Linked DNA regions of Oryctolagus cuniculus. The protein of the gene in region 4 purifies or fractionates together with the protein of the main gene of each other region. This does not show direct contact. Links are inferred from orthologs where the notes say so. Each region holds a gene or a part of one and is shown on either strand. Other genes may lie near its edges.

What was found.
Region 1: the proteins of HDAC2 (region 4) and GTF2I purify together in Homo sapiens (affinity purification with western blotting; 4 studies listed by BioGRID, with this or other methods). This does not show direct contact. The link is inferred for Oryctolagus cuniculus from reciprocal best matches to the Homo sapiens genes HDAC2 and GTF2I.
Region 2: the proteins of HDAC2 (region 4) and EED purify together in Homo sapiens (affinity purification with mass spectrometry; 5 studies listed by BioGRID and IntAct, with this or other methods). This does not show direct contact. The link is inferred for Oryctolagus cuniculus from reciprocal best matches to the Homo sapiens genes HDAC2 and EED.
Region 3: the proteins of HDAC2 (region 4) and SIN3A purify together in Homo sapiens (affinity purification with western blotting; 24 studies listed by BioGRID and IntAct, with this or other methods). This does not show direct contact. The link is inferred for Oryctolagus cuniculus from reciprocal best matches to the Homo sapiens genes HDAC2 and SIN3A.

The regions. Positions count from the first base shown.
Region 1 is NC_091450.1:49,806,140-49,811,231, forward strand, and holds the start of GTF2I (general transcription factor II-I), read right to left. Parts: upstream 3,540-5,092; 5' UTR 3,400-3,539; intron 1-3,399. UniProt on the Homo sapiens protein: Interacts with the basal transcription machinery by coordinating the formation of a multiprotein complex at the C-FOS promoter, and linking specific signal responsive activator complexes.
Region 2 is NC_091432.1:77,386,709-77,391,706, reverse strand, and holds the start of EED (polycomb protein EED), read right to left. Parts: upstream 3,540-4,998; 5' UTR 2,755-3,539; coding exon 2,641-2,754; intron 1-2,640. UniProt on the Homo sapiens protein: Polycomb group (PcG) protein. Component of the PRC2/EED-EZH2 complex, which methylates 'Lys-9' and 'Lys-27' of histone H3, leading to transcriptional repression of the affected target gene.
Region 3 is NC_091443.1:108,521,289-108,526,461, forward strand, and holds the start of SIN3A (paired amphipathic helix protein Sin3a), read left to right. Parts: upstream 1-1,634; 5' UTR 1,635-1,657; intron 1,658-1,756; exon of another isoform or gene 1,757-1,781; intron 1,782-4,579; exon of another isoform or gene 4,580-4,921; intron 4,922-5,173. UniProt on the Homo sapiens protein: Acts as a transcriptional repressor. Corepressor for REST. Interacts with MXI1 to repress MYC responsive genes and antagonize MYC oncogenic activities. Also interacts with MXD1-MAX heterodimers to repress transcription by tethering SIN3A to DNA.
Region 4 is NC_091436.1:57,431,570-57,436,134, forward strand, and holds part of HDAC2 (histone deacetylase 2), read left to right. Parts: intron 1-2,309; coding exon 2,310-2,451; intron 2,452-4,565. UniProt on the Homo sapiens protein: Histone deacetylase that catalyzes the deacetylation of lysine residues on the N-terminal part of the core histones (H2A, H2B, H3 and H4).

The sequences.
Region 1 (5,092 bases), on a different chromosome or scaffold from region 4:
TCCTTAAAAAAAATGTTTTTCTGGGGTCCGCGCTGTGGCATAGCAGGTAATGCTGCCACCTGCAAATGCTGGGATCCCATGTGGGCACTGGTTCAAGTCCCAGCTGCTCTGTTTCCGATCCAGCTCCCTGCTAAAGGCCTGGGAAAGCCACAGAAGCCAAAAGTGCTTGGGCACCTGCCACCCATCTGGAGCCCAGATGGCATCTGGGGCTTCTGCCGTCAGCCTAGACCAGTCCTGGCCATTTGGAGTGAAACACTGAATAGAAACCTGGCTCACTGCCTTTCAAACAAAGAAGTAATCTTGCAGAGACAGTAGGCATTTAGCCAAGCAGTTAAGACACCAGCATCCCACACCCCAGTGCCTGGGTTCAAGTCCCATCTCCACTTTCCATTCTAGCTCCCTGCAGAGCCACCTAAATGAGACCCTGATGGGAGTTCCCAGCTCCTGGCTTCAGGCTGGCCCAACCCTGGCTATTCTGGGCAAACGAACAAGTGGATGGAAGACCTCCATCTCTGCCTTTCAAATAAACTGAACTCAGACTAAAGAAGTTTTCCAATAAAGAATGACACAACAGTAGAAACGAATTAGGGGGAAGGCAATGCAGACAGCTGGTGACCAGGTGCGAGAAAAGGCTAAACATTTCATTTTTAGTGCTTCACTTCAGCTCCGGGTAACACCACCAGAACAGAGGTCTTGTCTTCTGTACTTTTTGTTTTGGAACACATCATGCAATTATGGATCAGCAGAAGTGAGAGAAGATGGGGGGGCATCTGGCGTGGCAGCTGAAATGCTGCTTGGGACGCCCACATCCCATCAGAGTGCATGGGTTAGAGGACGGGCTCTGCTCCACCCGCAGTGCCGACCACCGGCTCCTGGTAATGAACATCTGGGGGCAGCAATGCTGGCTCAAGGGCCTGGGCCCCTGCCACCCAGGCGGGAGCCCCGGACTGAGCTCCTGGCTCCCTGCTTCCGCCTGCCCCAGCCCTGGCTGCTGTGGCCTCTGGAGAGTGATTCTGCACACGCAAGATCTGTCTCTCATTCTTTCTCTTTCAAACAAAACAAAAAACAAACTTCTAATGATAGAACATAATTGTACAAAGTAGCCTCATTCTTCCTACCTAATTTACAATTATTTTCCCCAGAATAAAATCCATTATAATAAAAAAATTTAAAAATAGTTCTAAGACTTGCCCCTCAAGAAAAATAACGTCCAAGGGCTATGTTTTCATGCAAAGCCTTTGCAGGCAAAGGAAGTCAAGCCGTCGGGGGCACGCGTGGCCGTGGTGCTGCTCTGAACGCCCCACCTGACCAAACCTATCTCCAGGCCCAAGTGCCAAGTACCCGCCCTATTTCCCAAACCCTGGCCTCTACGGTGCGTATGTGATGCTTCAGGCATCGCTAAGAGAGAACATGGCAAATGCCTGTGCCATGAATTAATTAACAAATGAACCAGAGTGGGAGGGAAAAAAAGACAAGGCTAGTTTTTTTTTTTTAATCTATTTATTTATTTAAAAAGCAGAGAAACAGAGAGAAGGAGAGACACAGAGGGAGATCTTTCATCTGCTGGTTCACTTCCAAATTGGCTGGAACTGGACCAGGCTGGAGCCAGGAGCTTCTTCTGGGTCTCCCACGTGGGCCATCTTCCACAGCTTTCCCAGGCGCACTAGTAGAAAGGTGGATCGTAAGGGGAGTAGCCAGGACTCAAACCGGGGCCCATAAGAGATACCGGGGCTGTAGGCTGAGGCTTAACCTTCTGAGCCACAGCGCCAGCCCCCAGACTAGATTTCTAGTTTTAGTCTGCACTTACATCCAGGATGCTTTTTTAAACCTCAGATTTAACTTCTAAATTTGTAATCGTGGCTAGCCCAAAGAGCCTTCCCTCGCAAGCCGACGACTGCAGCAGCCGTCCTATTTAACGTCGTTTCAAAGTAACGAAAAGCAAACTTCTACACATCCCTGAATTTCCTACCACTGCCAATGGCTATAAATATGCCATCCACCGAGCTGCAGCCAAGGGTACCAGCTGGGGTGCAGACTCTGCCCCCTAAAACCCACTTCTCATATGAAAAGAAAAGCTACCCTCACAACCAGAAATGCGGATTCCTAGGCCCCAGCCCCACGGGATCAGAACCTGGGGTGCAGCCCAGCCCACTGTGCTGCCCCCATGATGCGCTGTTCGGGAAGCAGAAGCTACGCACCCAGCGTCCCCCGGCTCGTGCCTCCTTCCCCACCGCAGCCGGGCTACCACGGAAAAACAGACGCACGGGCCGGTCCCGAGGACGCCGCTCAGAAGTTCGGGGCCCTGCCCACTGCACCGCAGAGGCTGCACGCGCGCACGCGCCTGGTGACTCCGAGGAGGGCAACAAGTGCCAGGCGCACCGAGGACGACCGGCCACCTCCAACCAGACCACACGAGAACAAGGCAGGAAAGAGCTCCATAAGCCCACGGACGGCGTGAGCCGAGTCCACCCACCCCCTCCACGGGGTGGCCGAGCCCCGAGGCGGCCCGCGCAGTACAGGCCTCCTGCACGGCCGCGAGGGGCAACAGGCCACCCGCCGGCCCGAGCCTCGCCCTCGGAACACACCCAGCCGCAGACCAGCGCCGAACCCCCAGCGAGAGGGGCTCAGAACCGGAGGCGAGGCAGGCCAGACAGGGCCCGAGCCGCCCCCGCCCCGTCCTGCAGGCGTGCATGGCCTCAAGGCCGAGGTTTTCTCTTCCGCTCATTGTGTCTTATTTCCCCCAGCCCCAAAGCCCAGGCCCCGCGGGGCTGGGCGCGCCAGGCCGGCCCGGGACAAAGCCCACGACGGGCTCCACCTGGGAGCCGGCCGGGGGGCGGCGCCGGCACCCCGCCCCCCCGCGCGGTTACCAAGGCAGCGCGGCCCCGCCCCCCGCGCCCGCGGGCCAATCGCGCGCGTCTGCTGCCCCGGCGCAGGAGCCCCGGATACACCAGCCGAGCGCGACCCCACGGCTCGGGCCTGGCACGACGCGCGCCCCCGCTCCGCCCGGCCGGCCAATCAGCGCGCCGGAGGCCGGCGCGGCCGCACACGCCAGGCGGTGCGCCCCTCCCCCCAGCCCCCACTCATACACCACACGCCGGCCGGCGCGAGCGCGCGCGCGCCCCTCCCCCACGCGCACCCAGGCGCGCGCGTGCAACCGCCGTCCCCCGCGACCGCGTCCGCCCCACCCCCACCGCCTCGCGCCCCCGCGACCGGGGCCGGCGGGGGAGGGGGGGAGCAGGGCGCCCCTCAAAGGCCCGGCCGCAGCACCCCGACTGCTGCCTGCGCAGGCCCTCGGCGGGGCAGTCTGGAATAAAAGGCCTAGCTCGCCATGGCACCCGCGGCGGGGGCCGCAGGACGGGGCTGGGGGCGGGAGTGGGAGCTGAGACCAAAGGGACTCACCCGAGTGCAGCCGCCTCCAGGCAGCGCCGGGGCCGGGGGTGCGAAGGGAAGCGAGTGAGGGCCGCCGGGGAGCAGCCTCGGCTGTGGCGAGCTGGCGGGCGGCGAGGGGGCGAGGGGCCGCTGCGTCTCGGCCGCGCTCCTGTCACCGCCGCATGGCCGCCCCGGCAGGGCCTCGCGCAGCGCCTGGATCCGATCGCGGGGGAACCCTGAGAGAGGCCGGGGTGACCGCGGCAGGCGGGCGGCCGCAGCTAGAGAGCGCGTGCGGGGAGGCGGGGGGGCGACCAGTGGGCCCCTTTTTCTCTGCTCTCCGAGCTTCGCTCTCACCCTCCTCCTCCTCTTTTTTTTTTTTTTTTTTTTTGTTCCTCGAAGGCGCGCTGCGCGTGCGCACCCGCAGCACCGCCCAGCGGGAGTTGTAGTTCCTGATTGGTTCCCCACCAACGCGGCGGCGGGGACGGGGGACTACAACTCCCAGGAAGCCGCGCGCCGCCGAGCCCGGAGCAGGAGGACGAGGCTAGCGCGGCGCCCGGCCCTCTCCGGCGAGGACTGTCAATGGAGGCGCGGGTGGTGGGAGCAAGAACATGGCTGCACCTGGGGCCTGCGCGGCCGCCCGGGTGGGGGAGGGGAGCTGGGGGGGGGGGGCGAAGGAGCGGAAATGGAGACGGGTGGTGGCTCCAGCCGGCCTCGGCGGCGCTCCAAGTCCCCCGCTGGACTGTGGCACCCGAAATTCCCTGCACATTGGCGAGCTGGGGACGCGGCAAAGGCCGGGAATCCCCGGGCCAGTCCATCGCCCTCCGCCCTGCACCACCCTGCGGGACACAAAGAACTCCTGTGGGTGTCCCCAAAGCTAGCTTCGGAAGCCGCCCAGCCCGGGACAGGCTAGGGGAGGGGGCTCCCGGGTCGGTCTTTCTCCCTCCCCAGGCTTGGCCCACCCTGCCGCCTGCCACTCGACGTCTGGAAAGAAAAAGCCAAGTGGGCGCAAAAGGCCGGACTTGCAGACCACCACCACCCCACCCCACCCCCGGCGCCCCGTTTTGTTCTGGGAACCGCGAAGGGATTTAACCCGAGCCTCGGCCCCGCCCGCCCAGGTGCTGGTTCTTCTTCAGCCCGGGAATCTCGGCGGACCGCGAGCCCTGCACAGTTGGCCGGCAGCAGAAGTTTGCAAAGCCTTGGACGCTAACGCACCTGAACCTCGCCGCCGCCGCCCCCTGCCCCCCGCAGCCGCCGCTCGCTAGGTGGCGGCCGCACGGCTCCCCGCGGCCTCCCGGCCTCTTTGTGGGCTCGGGAGAGAAAACTTTCCGAACTGCCCGGCCTTTGATGCAGGTCCAAAAAAATAAAAAAAAAATACAAAACGCGTCCTTTGGGTTCGGGGATCGGCGCTCCCTGGGTCTCCTTTCCAGCATAGGCCACACCCATTAAAAAAAAATTCCTGGAAACGTTGGATTTCGCTCCCCGAAGGGGAGAATTGAGAGCTCCTGTCTGAGGACAGGAGGCTTGTGTGTTTTTATTATGCGACCCCCACGGTCTCGCACACAGACGCATGGGTCTGCGCGGGGGGGTTCGCCCTTTGTCGACCAATTCCTTACGAGCAACTTTGGGAGGTTTTTGTTGTTGTTCTTGTTGTTGTTGTTTTCACTTGCATTGCATTGACATTTGGGAGCTTGTTTAATTAGAATGATACAGTTGCAGCCTTGAC
Region 2 (4,998 bases), on a different chromosome or scaffold from region 4:
CACATGCTCACTTAGCTTTTCATTAATTCATTAAATTACTTTTAATGTCAGATAAATGAAATAATAAAACTCTTACACCAGTTTTTCATTCTGGCTAATCACTGGCCTGTCAATCAAATGACCACACAAAATACTCTCAATACACCACATATTTTCACTGCTGACAACTTAATTTACCTACGTTCTCCAAAGGTGAATCAAGATGCAATCAAATGGAAACCTAACACTTTCATTTTATCAAGAACTTAAAATCAAATCCATGCCAGTGTCTCACAGGCTGGCTTTCACCCTACCTCCTCCTGTAAGATGCAGATGACCCTACCGTCTTCATTTGCCCAACAAGGAAACAGACAGGGAGTTACCACTAATTTGTCCTTTAATCTTGGCACAAGTTACTTAAGCAAAAAGACAAGTCTCTAGACTCAGCCTTCACTTTTCTCTTTTAACCACGGCAACCATTAGTACTCAGCCTGAAGCTATCTACTCTGCTGTCAATAGGATCTTTATAAGTTTGAGAAAATGGCAGATGACATACACAATAAACTTTAAAAAAGTTCTTTCAATTCTGTGACTCACTTTAACAATAGGAACTGCTCAAGCTGTCTTAACTTGAACTCAAAAACACATTTTTCCCACACCTATTTTTGGTCTTTTGTCATTATTCACCTCCCTCAAGAGCTGTGAGTTCTTTCTGAATTCAGTTTTTGTACAATATTCTCTACCCCTTCCCTTACTGACTTCCCTAACTATGTCCTAGATCATGAGTCCTTATGGAATTGAGAGGGCCTGTGAATTCAAATAAAAACACACACACAAAAAACTGCATTTTAACTTTCACAGCTCTTAACTGAAATTTAGCACTTCCTTTTATTATATAATACAAACAATATATGTGCTAATGTTACATGATTTTTTTCACCAATGGAAATCAGGTATTTTGAAATCACATTATATTGGTTACAGATATTGAAAAACTTGCTTATACTCATCACTGCCACCAGATCTGTTGCTAGTTCCTGTTATTTAAAGTGCTAATATTACTACACTTAAAATTTATTTTAGAAATATTTTATGCCACACTTTACAATTTCAAAATTCTAACTTTAGATATTGTATTTTATATATTTAAAAATGTTATTCTGAGAAGGCTCCGTAAGATTCATTAAAAGGTCCAAGGCACATACAGTTTCTAGCCAAATGGAGCAACCCAAACAAAGGCTAATCCAATCATTTGGATCTGAATAGCTTTAGAATGAAACAAAGAACACTGGCATTTCTCCTTAAGGGTCTGCAAAAAGAAAATAAGATTTCAATTGACTTCTTCTCCTGAAATTCTCCTAAATAGATTTAACATTTTCATATTTTGATTCGTCAGTATGTGAAATAGCCAGAAGAAACATACTATGGTGATCACAAAATAAGTACTATAAACAAATAACACTTGCTTAATACTTGATATAGGGCAGGTACTCCTCTAAGCACTTTACCTATATTACGTCATTTAATACAATAACTCATAAAGTTAAAAAAAAAAGCTTCTATACCCATTTTAAAGATGAGAAACTGAGGCAGCTAGGTCACATACTTTGCTTAAGGTCAAGCAACCAGTTAGAGTGGGGATTTTAACCTAACATGTGGATCCAGCGTCTGTGCTCCTAACTGCAGCCTAATCTGCCGACAGAATTTTACGAAAACGAAGAAATAAAACTTGGTCTTCAAGACTTGGAATGAAGATAAAAAATGTTAGACCCAATTATGTAGTGAGACTGGGGAGAACAAACAGAAATATACATATAGATATATTTAAAGTAATATCAGACAAACTTTCCAGAAATTTTAAGTGCAAAACCCCATAAGCTGACAATCTCCAAGAAATCTTTCTTCTCTGCAGAAAGCAATCTTTCCCCCACCGTTTCCGTGAAAATCCTGGTCATGACACCATGCCATAAACACGCTTCAGTAGGCATTCACGCTGGGGAATTTAAGGACAGCGTGTGTGAGATACAACATTTATTCCTAAAGCAGGCCAAACTGAGAAATGCTCGCACCAGCTTTCTAAAACACGTTCAAGATTTTTTTTTTTTTTTAGATTCTCATTATTGGATTCGCACAGGACGGGAGCAGACACCAGGCGCTCTTAAACACTCATTCAAACTCCATTAACTCAAAGATCTACCCTTTGCATCCTGAAGATTCTACAGGGGTCAGAGCGACACAGTGCCCGAACTCCTTTGAAAGAGTTCTCGACTGCCCGCTCCTTCCCACTCTTAGGGAAAAAAAAAAAAGAAAATCTAGCACGCCTTTTAAACTACTGGAATCTCAGACCCGCACTCTTCCCTCTATCTCCCAAAGGCCCGAACACTTCCCCACAGGCAGAGGAGAGCTCTCGGACCCATGCTCTCACTTAAGCCACTCTCCTTGGCCAACTTTCTGCCTGCTCTCGGCCGCGGCTCAAAATCCCCGCCAGACACAGGTTCGACTTCGCCCGCACGCCCTCCCCATCCCGGGCACGGGGTGACACCTCTCGCTCTACCCCCTCCCCGCCCCAGCGCCGGCCCCCCCATCCCGCACCCGCAGTTTTTAAAGAATCTAAAAACTCCCACTCCGCAGAGTCCCGTGGCTGCTCCGGGCCGCACTCACATTTTCGTCTCCAGAGAGGTCCGGGTTGCTGTTCTCGTCGCTGCTCAGCTTCTGCTTCTTGGCCGCAGGCATGTCTGTTCCCGCCGGCGCTGTCGACACTTCCCTCTCGGACATATTCCTCCGCCTCCCCCCAGGTTCCTGCCGCCTCGGGCGGGGCCTCCGCCACACCGCCGTCAAGCAAGCCCGTCCGGAGCTTGCCGCAAAGTTGCCACTGCCGCCGCCACCTCCACCGCTCCCCCCAGTGTCGCAAATCGCGCCCAGCCGCCGAGGCGGGCGTGCGTGCGACCCCGCCACACTGCTGAAAAAGGGGCGCGCGCGCGCGCCCTCCTGCGCGGCTTTCTGGCTCCTTCCCTTTCCCGACTCCCGTTTTGCCCTTTTCCCGCCGCCCCCCCGGCAGTTTGCACGGAGATGTAGGATCCGTTGGCTTAAGAGGGTAGTATTTCGTATGTCTCCCGTCCCCACCACCACCTCGAAAAGAACAGGCAGAACTCAAAAGGGATGCTCCGTCACCCCCTTCCTCCTTCCAGAGACGTTTCAGCCGCAATTGGCCCAATCCTTCGATCTCCGACTCGCTGCAAAGGGAGCGAAAGTCTGTGGATGGAGTAGACCACCGGTGTCCCAGGGGACGGGGGAAGCTTTGCTAAGTCACCTCTTGCTTAAGCTCTGCGTGCCAAGAGTCTTTAAACCTGAACTCGGGAGGTGACGACTTCACGAGATTCACGAGATTATGCCAACGTAACTTTTGCTTGAGGATGGGAATTTAAAAACCGTAGACTGAGTCGCACTTGCTTCCCCCATCTGGCAAATGGAAGGCACCCACCTGGAGGTGCGCACGCGCCGAGGCGTATTCTCGCGCTGGGTTGTGGGGGTCCCTCCTCCTCCAGGCCCCTCCTCTTTTCGAAATCTTGTTTGCTGAACCTGGTAGTTTTCTACTGCGTGTGCATAGCCAGGGATGGATTTCAAAGCGCTACCAATCATCGTCTCAGGACGCACCCTAAATTCTTGACGGATGTTTGGTCTGATGAATATTTATTGCAATAATTTTTTTAACCTCAACCGGTTGTGGCCAATATTGGCTAAGGTTTAAGTAGAAGTGTGCTAAAATTACAGACCCTTGAACAGCTACAACTCAAGTGCTCTTTTTAAACAAGGCCCTGAAAAACTCAAAGGCCTATAAATCGGTGGATAGTTCCAACTATGAACCCGTGAGACTTAAGCGACAGGCAAATAACAATACAATTTTAGTACTTCACCAAAATAGTTTCTGTTACTTACATCTGCACTCTTGACAGGTGCAGAATACATTGGTGAGTCTTGTTGATTTGTCAGATGGGTCATCAAGCCGTACAACTGAAGGAAACGCAGCCTCCTTTGTTTTAGAACACAGTTGTGAGTGCTGGTATTTCTGGACCTCAGTGTCCTCATCTGTAAATGCGTGGAAGTGAGAAGGAACCCAGCATACCTTGAGCACCTGCCTGATATGTTTTCTCTTTTGGATCTCGTCGTAAGACACAAGGGATAACCAGTCTAGTGTCGCAGCCATAAAATTGTAGTATACTTGAATTACTTCTGCAAGATGATTTGACAGTGAGAAGATCTGTTTTACTCTCTGCAGATTGCAAGTCATTCCTCCTTTTGAAGTTAGCAGAGAATTCTTGGTTGAGAATGAAAAAAGGAAAGTGAAGCAAAGAGAGGGCAGAGTAAGACATATTTACAATAAAGATTCAGGAAAAATATGGACGCTGAAAAAGTCCAGGTCTTACTAATTGCAGTATTTGTGGAACACTCTCAATGTGCCAGGCACTGCTAAGCACTCCTCAGGTGTGGGGGAGAGATGTGACAGATGAGTCAGCTATGAGAAAGGTAAGATGTGCTTCAGTGTGACACCTTTTTGGGCAAAGACAGATACTCTGTTTTATTGAGAAAGCTGTTTGTGAAATATAACTCTACAAGGAACGGATAATCAGCTAACACATTTCAGATTGCTGCGTGGGTCCAGTGGGATGTGGGAGTCAGCTTCTAGTCATAACATGGAGTAAGTGCTGACCATTTGGATAAAGGGTACATGAAAAGAAAATAACCCAAAGATATTCAGCACTCATGTTATCTGTAACAAAGCAAAAATGTTTTTAAAGAGTCTTATTAAAACTAGGAGGGATTTTTTATATGTTCTGATACGTTTGGGATGGATGAATGATGGAAATTAGTTCATATTCATTATAACTAATGTTAAAGATAAATTATTCTGATACTTCCTTCAGGACTATTTTGAAAGAGACCAAGATTGTAGGGGAGAGAAATTGGGCTCAGCTCCTCCAAACACAACAAATACAAGTGGGGATTTAAAATCAAAGAGTT
Region 3 (5,173 bases), on a different chromosome or scaffold from region 4:
GGCAACGCGCCGCCGGGGCTCAGAGCAGCCTGGGGCGTTCAGGGGTCCCCGCCGGGGTGGCACTCGGGGCAGTGAGTACGCTGTCCGGCTGCGGATCTGCTGTGTCAGTAACCTCACCCACGGCACACCACCTGCTGCCCAGAGCCTCCCAGGACCTGAGCCACATGCTGGCAGCACCGGGATCCTCCTCGCGGCCGGGGTCGCCGGGTCAGCCTCTTCCCCCAGGCAGGGACCCAGGGACCCAGCGAGAGCCAGGGGGCTCGCGGTGCAGGCCGGCGCCCGCTCTACCCTACCGTTTGCCTCATCTGACGCCGGCACAGCGCAGGAGCACACAGGGCTCATCTCCCGGCTCCCCCTCCTCTCCCCTCCGTGGTCTCCCCAAAGCTGCGGCTCCCCACCTGCCCTCTCTGCTTACAGCCCAGCTTCCCACGTGGACCCTGGGGCCGGGGCGGAGGGTGGGGGTGGCGGCTGGCAGCCTGTCCGCTCCATTTCCCACCCCGTTTCGTGGAGAGGCTCAGGCCCAGGTAGGGGAGACAGGAGCTCGTTTAAGCCTCCGACAACGGCCACGCGAAGCGCAGGGCCGAATTCCGCCAGCCCCGAGCTCCTCCGCCTCACCCCGCCGAGGGCCGCTGGCTCCATTTGCCGCCCACCGCCCACTCCAAATAGCCGCCCTCTCCCCTGAGTCTCTCCAACACTGCTCGCCTTTCTTGCTCGCACGCATCCCCTGGCCGTGCCCTGGTCTAGTGTGCCCCGCCTGAACTACCGGCCCACCGCACGGATCCCTCCGAGCCCCGACCAGCCGGTCTCCCTCGCTCACACCAGGCGCATCCGGCCTCTGCTGAACACAGACCTGCGGGGTGGCCCTGCCCCCTGGAAACTCTTTTCGGTTGGCAATGGAGACCAACAGAGCAAGGGCGGCAGGGCAGAGGCAGGGCAGGCGTCGCAGCACTGTAGCCACCAAACCCAGCGCCTCCCTCCCCTCACTGGGCACACCCCAGAGCCCACCGGCTGCTAGGGCGCTAAGCACCCGACCACACCGGCCTGGGCCTGCGACCGGCTTTTGGTCCAGCTAGGAGACGTCCCGCGGCTTGGGGCCACCTCTGCCACCCTGGTTTCCAGCATCGCAGTCCTCACGCTTTCCACCTGTCCCTTCGTGCCCTTTGCCCCTCCGCTTCTGCCCGGGGCAACCCCTAAGACCCACCTGGCTCGCCGCCGCCTCCACGCGGCTCCGCCGGCTTACCTGCAGCCGGCAGGGCTCTCCTGGGAGCGCCCGGGAGTCGGCCAGTCTGTGCGGGAGCACACTCCCGCCTCGCCTCGGCTCCTGCGGCAGCATCTCCACCGCGCCCGCACGCCCCAGGGCTGGGGTGACTCCCTCGCCGGGCTGCACGCAGGGCTTCCCGCCCGCACCCCTCGTCTCCAGGCGCCCAGCACGGCGGGCCGCCGTCCCGGAGCCCCGCCGCCCGGGACCCTCGAGGCGCCGCCGCGACGGCACCGGGGATCCTCCGCTCCGGGCTCGCCTAATTTATTTATTTGCACGGTTCCCGGAGGGAGGGGCGGGGCGAGCGCGGAGGCGGGCCCTCGGCCGTGACGCAGCGCCGCGGAGCCAATGGCCGGCGGGGGGCGTTCCCCATTCAGCACTCCTCGCCCGGCTCGGAAGGTATGTTAAACAGCTGCTTTCAATTCGGTGCCCCCGGCCCGCGTCCGGGGGGCGGCTCGCCGTGGCCGGCCCGACGCAGAGCGGGCGCGCAGGCCCCGGGGCGGCTCGGAGTCCCGCGGCCGAGGTAGGCGAGGGGCCGGCCCGGAGGGAGGGCGCTCGGCGCCGCCCGCCCGCCCGCCACTGTGTCTCCCGGCCGGGCCGAGCCGTGGGGAGGGGGCGCCAGCGCCGGCCGCGCCGCCTAGTGTTGCCGAGCACTCGGTGTCGGTAGGTTTCGGCGGCGGATTGGGGAGCGGCGAGCCGGAGGAGTCTCCGGCTCCGCTCACGCCTTTTTTTTTTTTTTTAAGAAAAACACACGAAAAGCAGCAAAAAAAAAAAAAAAAAAAAAGGTGGGTGGGGGGCCCTGCGCGCCGACCGGACGCGCTCCGGCAGGCGGGGGGCGGCGGCCGGCCCGGAGTTCCCTCCGCGCGGACTTGCCGGGCGGGCCGGGCTCGCGGCTTCCCTGCGCGCGCAAACTTGCACGAGGGGCGCGGGCGCCCCCGGCCCGGGGCCGCCGCCCTCGCCCCCCGCCGCCTCGCCGCCCGGAGCGGCCGTGAAGGTCGGAACCTGGGGAACTGTCTCCACGCTCGCTCGGGAAGAGGAAACGCATCAGCGGGCGGGAGGCGGGGCGCAGGCGCCGGGCGGGGGCGCGGGCCCGGCCGGCCGGCCGGCCGGCCGGCCTCCGGCCGCGGCCCAGACTGTTTACTACCGACTCCGCCGGCGGCTTGTGCAAGCGGCCCGCAGGGGACACGCGGGGCGGGGCGCCGCCTCGCCGCCCGCCGCCCCGGGCTCCTTGCGGGCCCCGCCTGCTCTTGTCTTCCATTGGCTGCTCGGGACTCCCTCTTTCGCTTCTCGGGCACGGATTGGCTGACATTATCTCGAGCTCCGCCTATAGGGAGGCCGGGCAGGAGTTTAAGTTGCTAGGGTTTTTTTTTTTTTTTTTCCGTGAAGGGCGGAGGGGGGGGCGTCCTGCGGCTACGTGAGGCGCGAGGGCCCGCCCCCGCTCCTGATTGGCTGCGCGCGCGGCCCCGCCCCCGGCGGAGCGAGCCGGGAGGGGAAGTCCGCCCTCGGCCGCGAGCGCGCCCCGCACATGTGTGAGGCCGCCGCGCTGCTCGCGTGCCTCCCGCCCGGAAGTCCCGGCTCCGCGCCCCGCGGGGGGAGGGGGTGGCGAAGGCGCGCTGGGCTGCCCGGCATCCCGCGGCCGGCGGCTTCCGGGTGGCGCTGGGGGCTCTGCGGGCGAGGGTCTGTCCGTCGGGCCGGGGCCGCGCTCTGAAGTTCGGGCCCGGCGGCGTGGCTGTTTCCGCGCGAGAGCGCTGCGGACGCCGGCAGCCGCTGCCCTCGGCGGGCCGGGAGGGGACCCCGGCGCGGGGTCGGGGCGCGGCGCGCGGGGCTGGGCCCGAGCTGCGCCCCCGCCGGGGGGTCGGCTCCCCGCAGTTCCCAGCTCGCAGCCGGCACTCACCTGTTGCCGGAGCTCGCTCCGAGGCTGCGGAGGGAGGGCGGTGTTGGGGTCCCCTCTGCGGGCGAGAGCGGGAAGCCCCGAGCCCCGCCCCCCAAGCAAGGCCACCGGCGGGCCCATGCCCTGTGTGCCGGCACCTGGTCTCGGTGCAGCTTAGCCTTCACGGAGCGGACCTAGGGACTGCCAGGAGCCCACGGTGGCCGAGGTGGACGCCGGCCGCGCCGGCCTCACCGCACGGGGAAGCCCCCGCCCAGAGGGGTCTGACCGCACGCGGGACCCCGGCCCAGAAGGTGTCTCTGCACGCGGGACCCCGGCCCAGAGGGGTCTGACCGCACGCGGGACCCCGGCCCAGAGGGGTCTCTGACCGCACGCGGGACCCCGGCCCAGAGGTGGCCTCTGACCGCACGCGGGACCCCGGCCCAGAGGTGGTCTCTGGCCGCACGCGGGACCCCGGCCCAGAGGGGTCTCTACCGCACGCGGGAGTCCGGCCCAGAGGGGTCTCTGACCGCACGCGGGACCCCGGCCCAGAGGTGGTCTCTGGCCGCACGCGGTACCCCGGCCCAGAAGGTGTCTCTGCACGCGGGAGTCCGGCCCAGAGGGGTCTCTGACCGCACGCGGGACCCCGGCCCAGAAGGTGTCTCTGCACGCGGGACCCCGGCCCAGAGGGGTCTGACCGCACGAGGCACCCCCGCCCACTCCGGTCCCTTCCTCGGTTCCTCCGCTGGCTCTGCCCCCGAGGCGGCCAGGGCGGTGGCCGTCGGGCCGCTTTCAGGGCTGCCCGTTCCGGTCGGGTTTGTGGGCGCAGCTCTGCCCCGGCCGCTGCTAGGCGGCGGCGTGCGACCGCCAGGCCGGAGGCTGAGGTTCGCGGTGAGGGGCGCCCGGGCCCCGGCGCTGCCCCCGGAACTCCGAGCTCGTCTCGGTGTCAACATTCCACCAAAGGACGGCGGGGCGGAATCGCCGGGGGCGGGCCCGGCGCGGCTGTGAGGTGGGAGGCGCCTGCGTCCCGCACGGACACTGTGCCCCACAGCGGCTGCCTTCCTGGGGCGCCGAGAGCCGGAGGTAGCCTTCCGAAACGCTGACCGGCGGAGGCGGGAGCCGACCTGCTCGGCCTGTGGCTGAGACGGCGCGGGGCGGGCCGTGCGGTGTCCTCCAATGAGACGAGAAGAGCTCCCCCGCTTCCGCCAATGGTGTTGCGGCTGGGGGGAGGGACTCGGCAATCCGTCTCCAATAGGCGGGGTTGAGTTAGGGAAGCTCCCCGCCAATAGGGGCGTGGAGAGGGTGAGCGGCTCCCCCTCCCTTCCCCACCGAGAGGGAAGGGGCGGGAAGTCGGCGGGCGGGGCGCAGTAATTGGCTGGCCTTTTGACTGGCGGGCGATGCGTCCTGTGGAGGAGCGAAGCCGAGTCCTCCCTCTGCTGGGCGGGCCGGGGGAGTGGGCGGGATTTCCCGGGTAACAGAGAAGCGGCCGCGGCGGTAGAGGCGGCGGAGACGGTTTCTCCATCTCCCCCTCCCCTTCCCCCCACAGAGTTTCCCTCCTTCCCTCCCTCCCTCCCTCCCAGTCTGGGCAGCCGGGCCTGTGACCGCCTCGGTAGCGGAGCGCAGGCTGCCAGTCCGCTTCGGCGGCCTCTGCCCCGTGCGGCTCTCGGGGCCTCCTGAGCCCGCGGCTCACGCCGAGAGGGACGCGCAGTGACGAGCGGCCCTAGCAGCTTCGCGGTGAGAGCCGGTGGGCCGAGCTCCGGCGGGAACCCGGGCGGCGGGCAGCGCCGGGCCGGAGGGTGTGTATTGGGGGGGCTGACCCCCGCGGCTTCCCGTAGAGCGGGAGGCGTGTGGCTGTGCGAGCGGTGGGGGCGGAGCGGGGCGGCTCGGCGCGGGAGGGGGAGCGCGTAGTCCCGGTGCGCGCGGAGGGGGCGGGCGCTCGCGCGCCGCTCGGGGGCGGGGCCGCGCGCGTGCGGCGGCGGGGAGGGGCGGGGCGGCGGGCGAGCGCCGGGGCGGCCGCGGGGGGCGGGGCCTCGGGCGCGGGCGGGGGT
Region 4 (4,565 bases):
TGTATACACACACACACAAAATATTAGAAGTAGTTTTCAATTTAGATTTGAGTTTTGGTTTCAACTAAAGAAAAATGATGAAACCTTGTAAGTTTATGTTCTAAATGTTTAGCAAGTTTTTACTTGAAGACAAAAATTGGAAACCTGTGTTGAAGGAAATTTGTTTACTTATTGATCCTAGGTAACTGTGTACCTTTCTTATCTGTATGGGGCTCTTGTTCTTTACTAATGGATGTAAAATTATGCCTAAGTTGCTGTGTTGTGTTTAGATGTTATCCTTCACTGTTTGAACTCTCCTTCAAACTCTAAAGGCACTTAGGATTTTGGAGATTTACGAAGTTAGATATTTGTTAGCATCATCAGTTGTGATATCTTAGTAGATTATACTTTAGTTTGTACCAAATTAGTGTTTTCTCAATTTTGAAGACACTCTTCCTTGTAGTTACTCCACACTTATATCCATAGAAGCTAATTTTTCAGTAACTTGAAACGGTATTAACTCTTCAAATGAATAATAACTGAGTGGTGTCAATGTAACATTGTGTTAACTTACTGAGAACCAAGGAAAATCATTTGAAAGCATTTGGTGTGTTTTTTTAACTGCCTGTTGATATTGGATCCAGTGTCTTCAAAACTTTGAAACAAGGTCTTAACCCAAGTTAATATATCTAGACACAGTTGTTTGGTTATAAACATAATTTAATTGATTTGATGAAGAGGCTTATTTATCTCACATGAGCAATTCAAACTTTAATCAACAGCCTTTTTTTTTTTTAATTGGATGAAGAAATTCTGCTACAGTGAGATACACTTGTAAATTTTCTACTTCTGAATGTTGCTTCTGTGAATTGAGAATACTACTTTGAATAGTTAGTCTGGTAATGGTAGCTTATACTGTATGAGTTTAGCACAGCTTTGAAATGCTGCCTAATAAACAGGGTACATTGCCATCAATACTTCTCACTTCACTGTACTTTAAAAGGATAACATTTGAAGCACACCTCTTCCTTTATGTGGTTTTGACATGAGTGTGCATGGGTAATAAAATATGGTGATACAGGTGGCTCCTAAAGTGCATTCATGGCATAACTACTTTACTGGGATTTGTAGTGCTATAAGCACCAGTATGAACTTATGTGAGAGAGTACCACATATTGGTCTGTTGTCACTGCTATTCAGTTATAGGGTAAAAGAAGCTATAGGTATTAGTAAAGAAATGAGCATGATTATGTTTTACTGGTATCTTTTTTTTCTTTCTTTTTTTTTTTTTTTTTACAAAAATTAAAAGTTGAGCTTCAAGTAATTGTCATGGCACAAAATACTCTTGTTTTGATTTTTTTTTTCTTTCACTATTTGAAAAATTTGATACAGCTTCCTGCTAATACGTGCTGGGAGATAGCAGATGATGGCTTAAGTGCTTGGACACTTCTACAGACTTGAAAGACCCAGATGGAGTTCTGGGCTCCTGACTCTGTGGCCTGGCTTAACCCTGGCTATTAGAAGCACTTGGGGAGTAAACCCGTGGATGTGTCTATTTGTCTGCCTCTCTCTGCCTTTATCTATCTATCTATCTATCTATCTATCTATCTATCTATCTATCTATTTAAAAGAGTTACACAGAAAGAGGGAGAGACAGAGATCTTCCATCTGCTGACTCACTCCCCAGATGACCATGATGACCGAGGTTGGGCCAGCCTGAATCCAGGAGCCATGAATTTCTTCCTGGTCTCCTACGTGGGTACAGGGGCCCAAGCACTTGGGCCATCTTCTGCTGCTTTCCTAGGCCATTAGCAGGGAGCTGGTTTGTAAGTGGAGCAGCTGGGATTTGATCCCGCACCCACATGGGATGCTGATGACACCTGCAGTGGGTTAACCTGCTGTGCCACAACAGCTGTTCTCTGAATCGTTCCTTTAAAAAATAAATATGTAGAAACTATTCTTAGCTCAAATGGCAGTTGGCCAAATTTGGACTGCGGGCTATTTGCCAACCTCTGTTTAATAGTACTAGGGATTTACTAAAGAGATTTTAAAATTAAATTAACAGCATTGAGTAAGGTGTGGTCTTCAGTTAATATATAAAAATGTGCTTATGCATTTAAAACATATAAAATAGGACATATTCCATGGGTTCTAAGAGGGAATTTCAACGTTTAAGGTTCAAACTCTCAGGGAGTCTCTTAGGGTAGATATAAAATAAGAAAGAAATGAAACATTCTGGAATGTAAGAACCCAAAAATAAGTTTCCAGAATTCATGATGATTGTTCTCAACTTAGAACCTTAAAAAACAAACTTACGGTTTTATTTTCAGGTATCATCAGAGAGTCTTATATATTGATATAGATATTCATCATGGGGATGGTGTTGAAGAAGCTTTTTATACCACAGATCGTGTAATGACTGTATCATTCCATAAATATGGGGAATATTTTCCTGGCACCGGAGACTTGAGGGTAAGAGCAAATTCTGCTTGAATAAATGTAAGATATAACCTGTATCTGAACCAGTATTTTTCCTGAATCATTAATTTGAAGCATGCATGCAGAATTAAATCACTTTGTATACTCTACCATCTGCTAGAATTGACTTTGCTGACTATAATAAAAAATTTTAAAAAGGGGCAGACTTTGTGGCATAGCAGGTAAAGCTGCTGACTGCACTGCCAGCATGCCATGTGGGCATCAGTTTTTGTCCCAGCTACTCCACTTCTGATCCAGCTACCTGCTAATGGCCAGAGAAAGCAGTGGTGGATGGCCCATGTACATGGAACCCTGTACCCATGTGGGAGACGCAGTAGAAGCTCCTGGTTCCTGGCTTCAGGCCAGCCCAGCTCTTGCTGTTGCAGCCATCTGGGGAGTGAACCAGCAAATAGGAGATCTCTGTCTCTGTCTCTCTTTCTCTAAGCTCTGCCTTTTCAAATAAATAAATAAATCTTTATCCCCCAAAAAATATTAACAAAAACTTAAAGGACTTTTCTTTTGCTCAGCTATTTTATTTGAGTAAATATTATTGAACATCCATGGCACATGAAGCCCTTAGTATTCAATTTGAATCTTCAAAACTACCTAGTAGTAGCATACATTGCTTTTGATTGTAAAAGTTGTTGGAATAAAATAGACTGGGTGCTTTTAGATTCTTGCGCTTTCCTTTGTGATTGGTTTTGATTCAGTACCTCTAATTTTAATCTCTTTTCCTTAGCCTTCTGAAATTTGTAGTGTATGCCATTTGGGGAGAGAAAAAAAATACCAACATTTAGCACTTGCCTGCCTGTTACATTCTGTGCATTTATTTCTGTTTCTCTTTCTGTTACCTTTTTCCATTTGGTGCTCTTGTGTTTTATAAATGTGAAAAGCACTGCCAAATCCTTCTATACACTGCCCACAGTTGTTCTTCACTGGAGTTTTTTTTTATGTTTTTAACCAGACTGCATACAATATTGAAGTTTATTGAGAAATATAAGCAGCTGTTTTTAGTTCAGCCTGGATTGAGGTATTCCTCCTAAAATGACATTCAACATTAGTTCTAAACTGTTAGTTAAAATTTTATAAGCTTGAGGTCTGTCATACAGTTTGGCAACCAAAGTTTTAGAAAGAGTACCTTTCTTCTTCAGATGTGTGGCTTTTCTTTGCTTGACCACAAGGTGGTACTCTTTCAGTAAACTCTTGTATAAGAGAGGATAGTAAAAGCTTGCCTAATAGATAGAAGGAGGTCAGGTATTTAGATTGAGTCTAAATCATTTAACTTTTAAAATTATGGGTTTATAATTTCAGTTCCTTGCCAATTAGCTTATTCAACTTTTCCCTTAAACCATGTGGTTCTGTCTTATAAACTAATAATTTGCAAAGAGTGATCCCTAAACTAGCAAGACCAGTGATACAGGGAAGTTGTTAAATAGTCTCAGATATATTCTCAGATCCCAGAAACCCTTATTTTACCCACAGAAGTTTGAGAACTAGTGCCCAAAACCATTGGAGTTCATTTGTTTATGGGTGTTACATCCCATAGAAATAGAACAAGATACTTCTCGGCTTTAATGAAGCTTAAAAAAATAAATTAGTGTTTTTTGCATAGTAATCCTAATCGGTGTACAAAGAGGCAAGTGGAGACCTCTCAACTTCCAACAGCAGTAGATGTCACTATGGCCTCTTAATTACTGTGCTTGAAATTATGGAGAAGTACTGGCGAATGCTGTTTTATAAGGATTGAGAATGGCCAACAACATCTTTTCTTTACTTGAGACTTTATACTTGTATGAAATATCATTCCAAGATTAATATTTGTATATTTTAAATGCGTTCCCAGAATTTTTTTAAGATTTATTTATTTTGAAAGGCAGGAATAGAGAACGTGTACTTCCATCCACTGCCTCATTCCCCAGATGGCCACAATGGCCAGCACTGGGCCAGACTGAGCCAGGAGTCAGGAGCTTTTTCTGTGACTCCCACGCAGTTGCAGGGGTTCAAGCACTTGGGCCATCTTCCGCTTCTTTCCCATGCATATTAGCAGGGAGCTGTATTGGAAGTGGAGCAGCTGGGACTCAAATTTGGCACTGATGTAGTATGCCAGC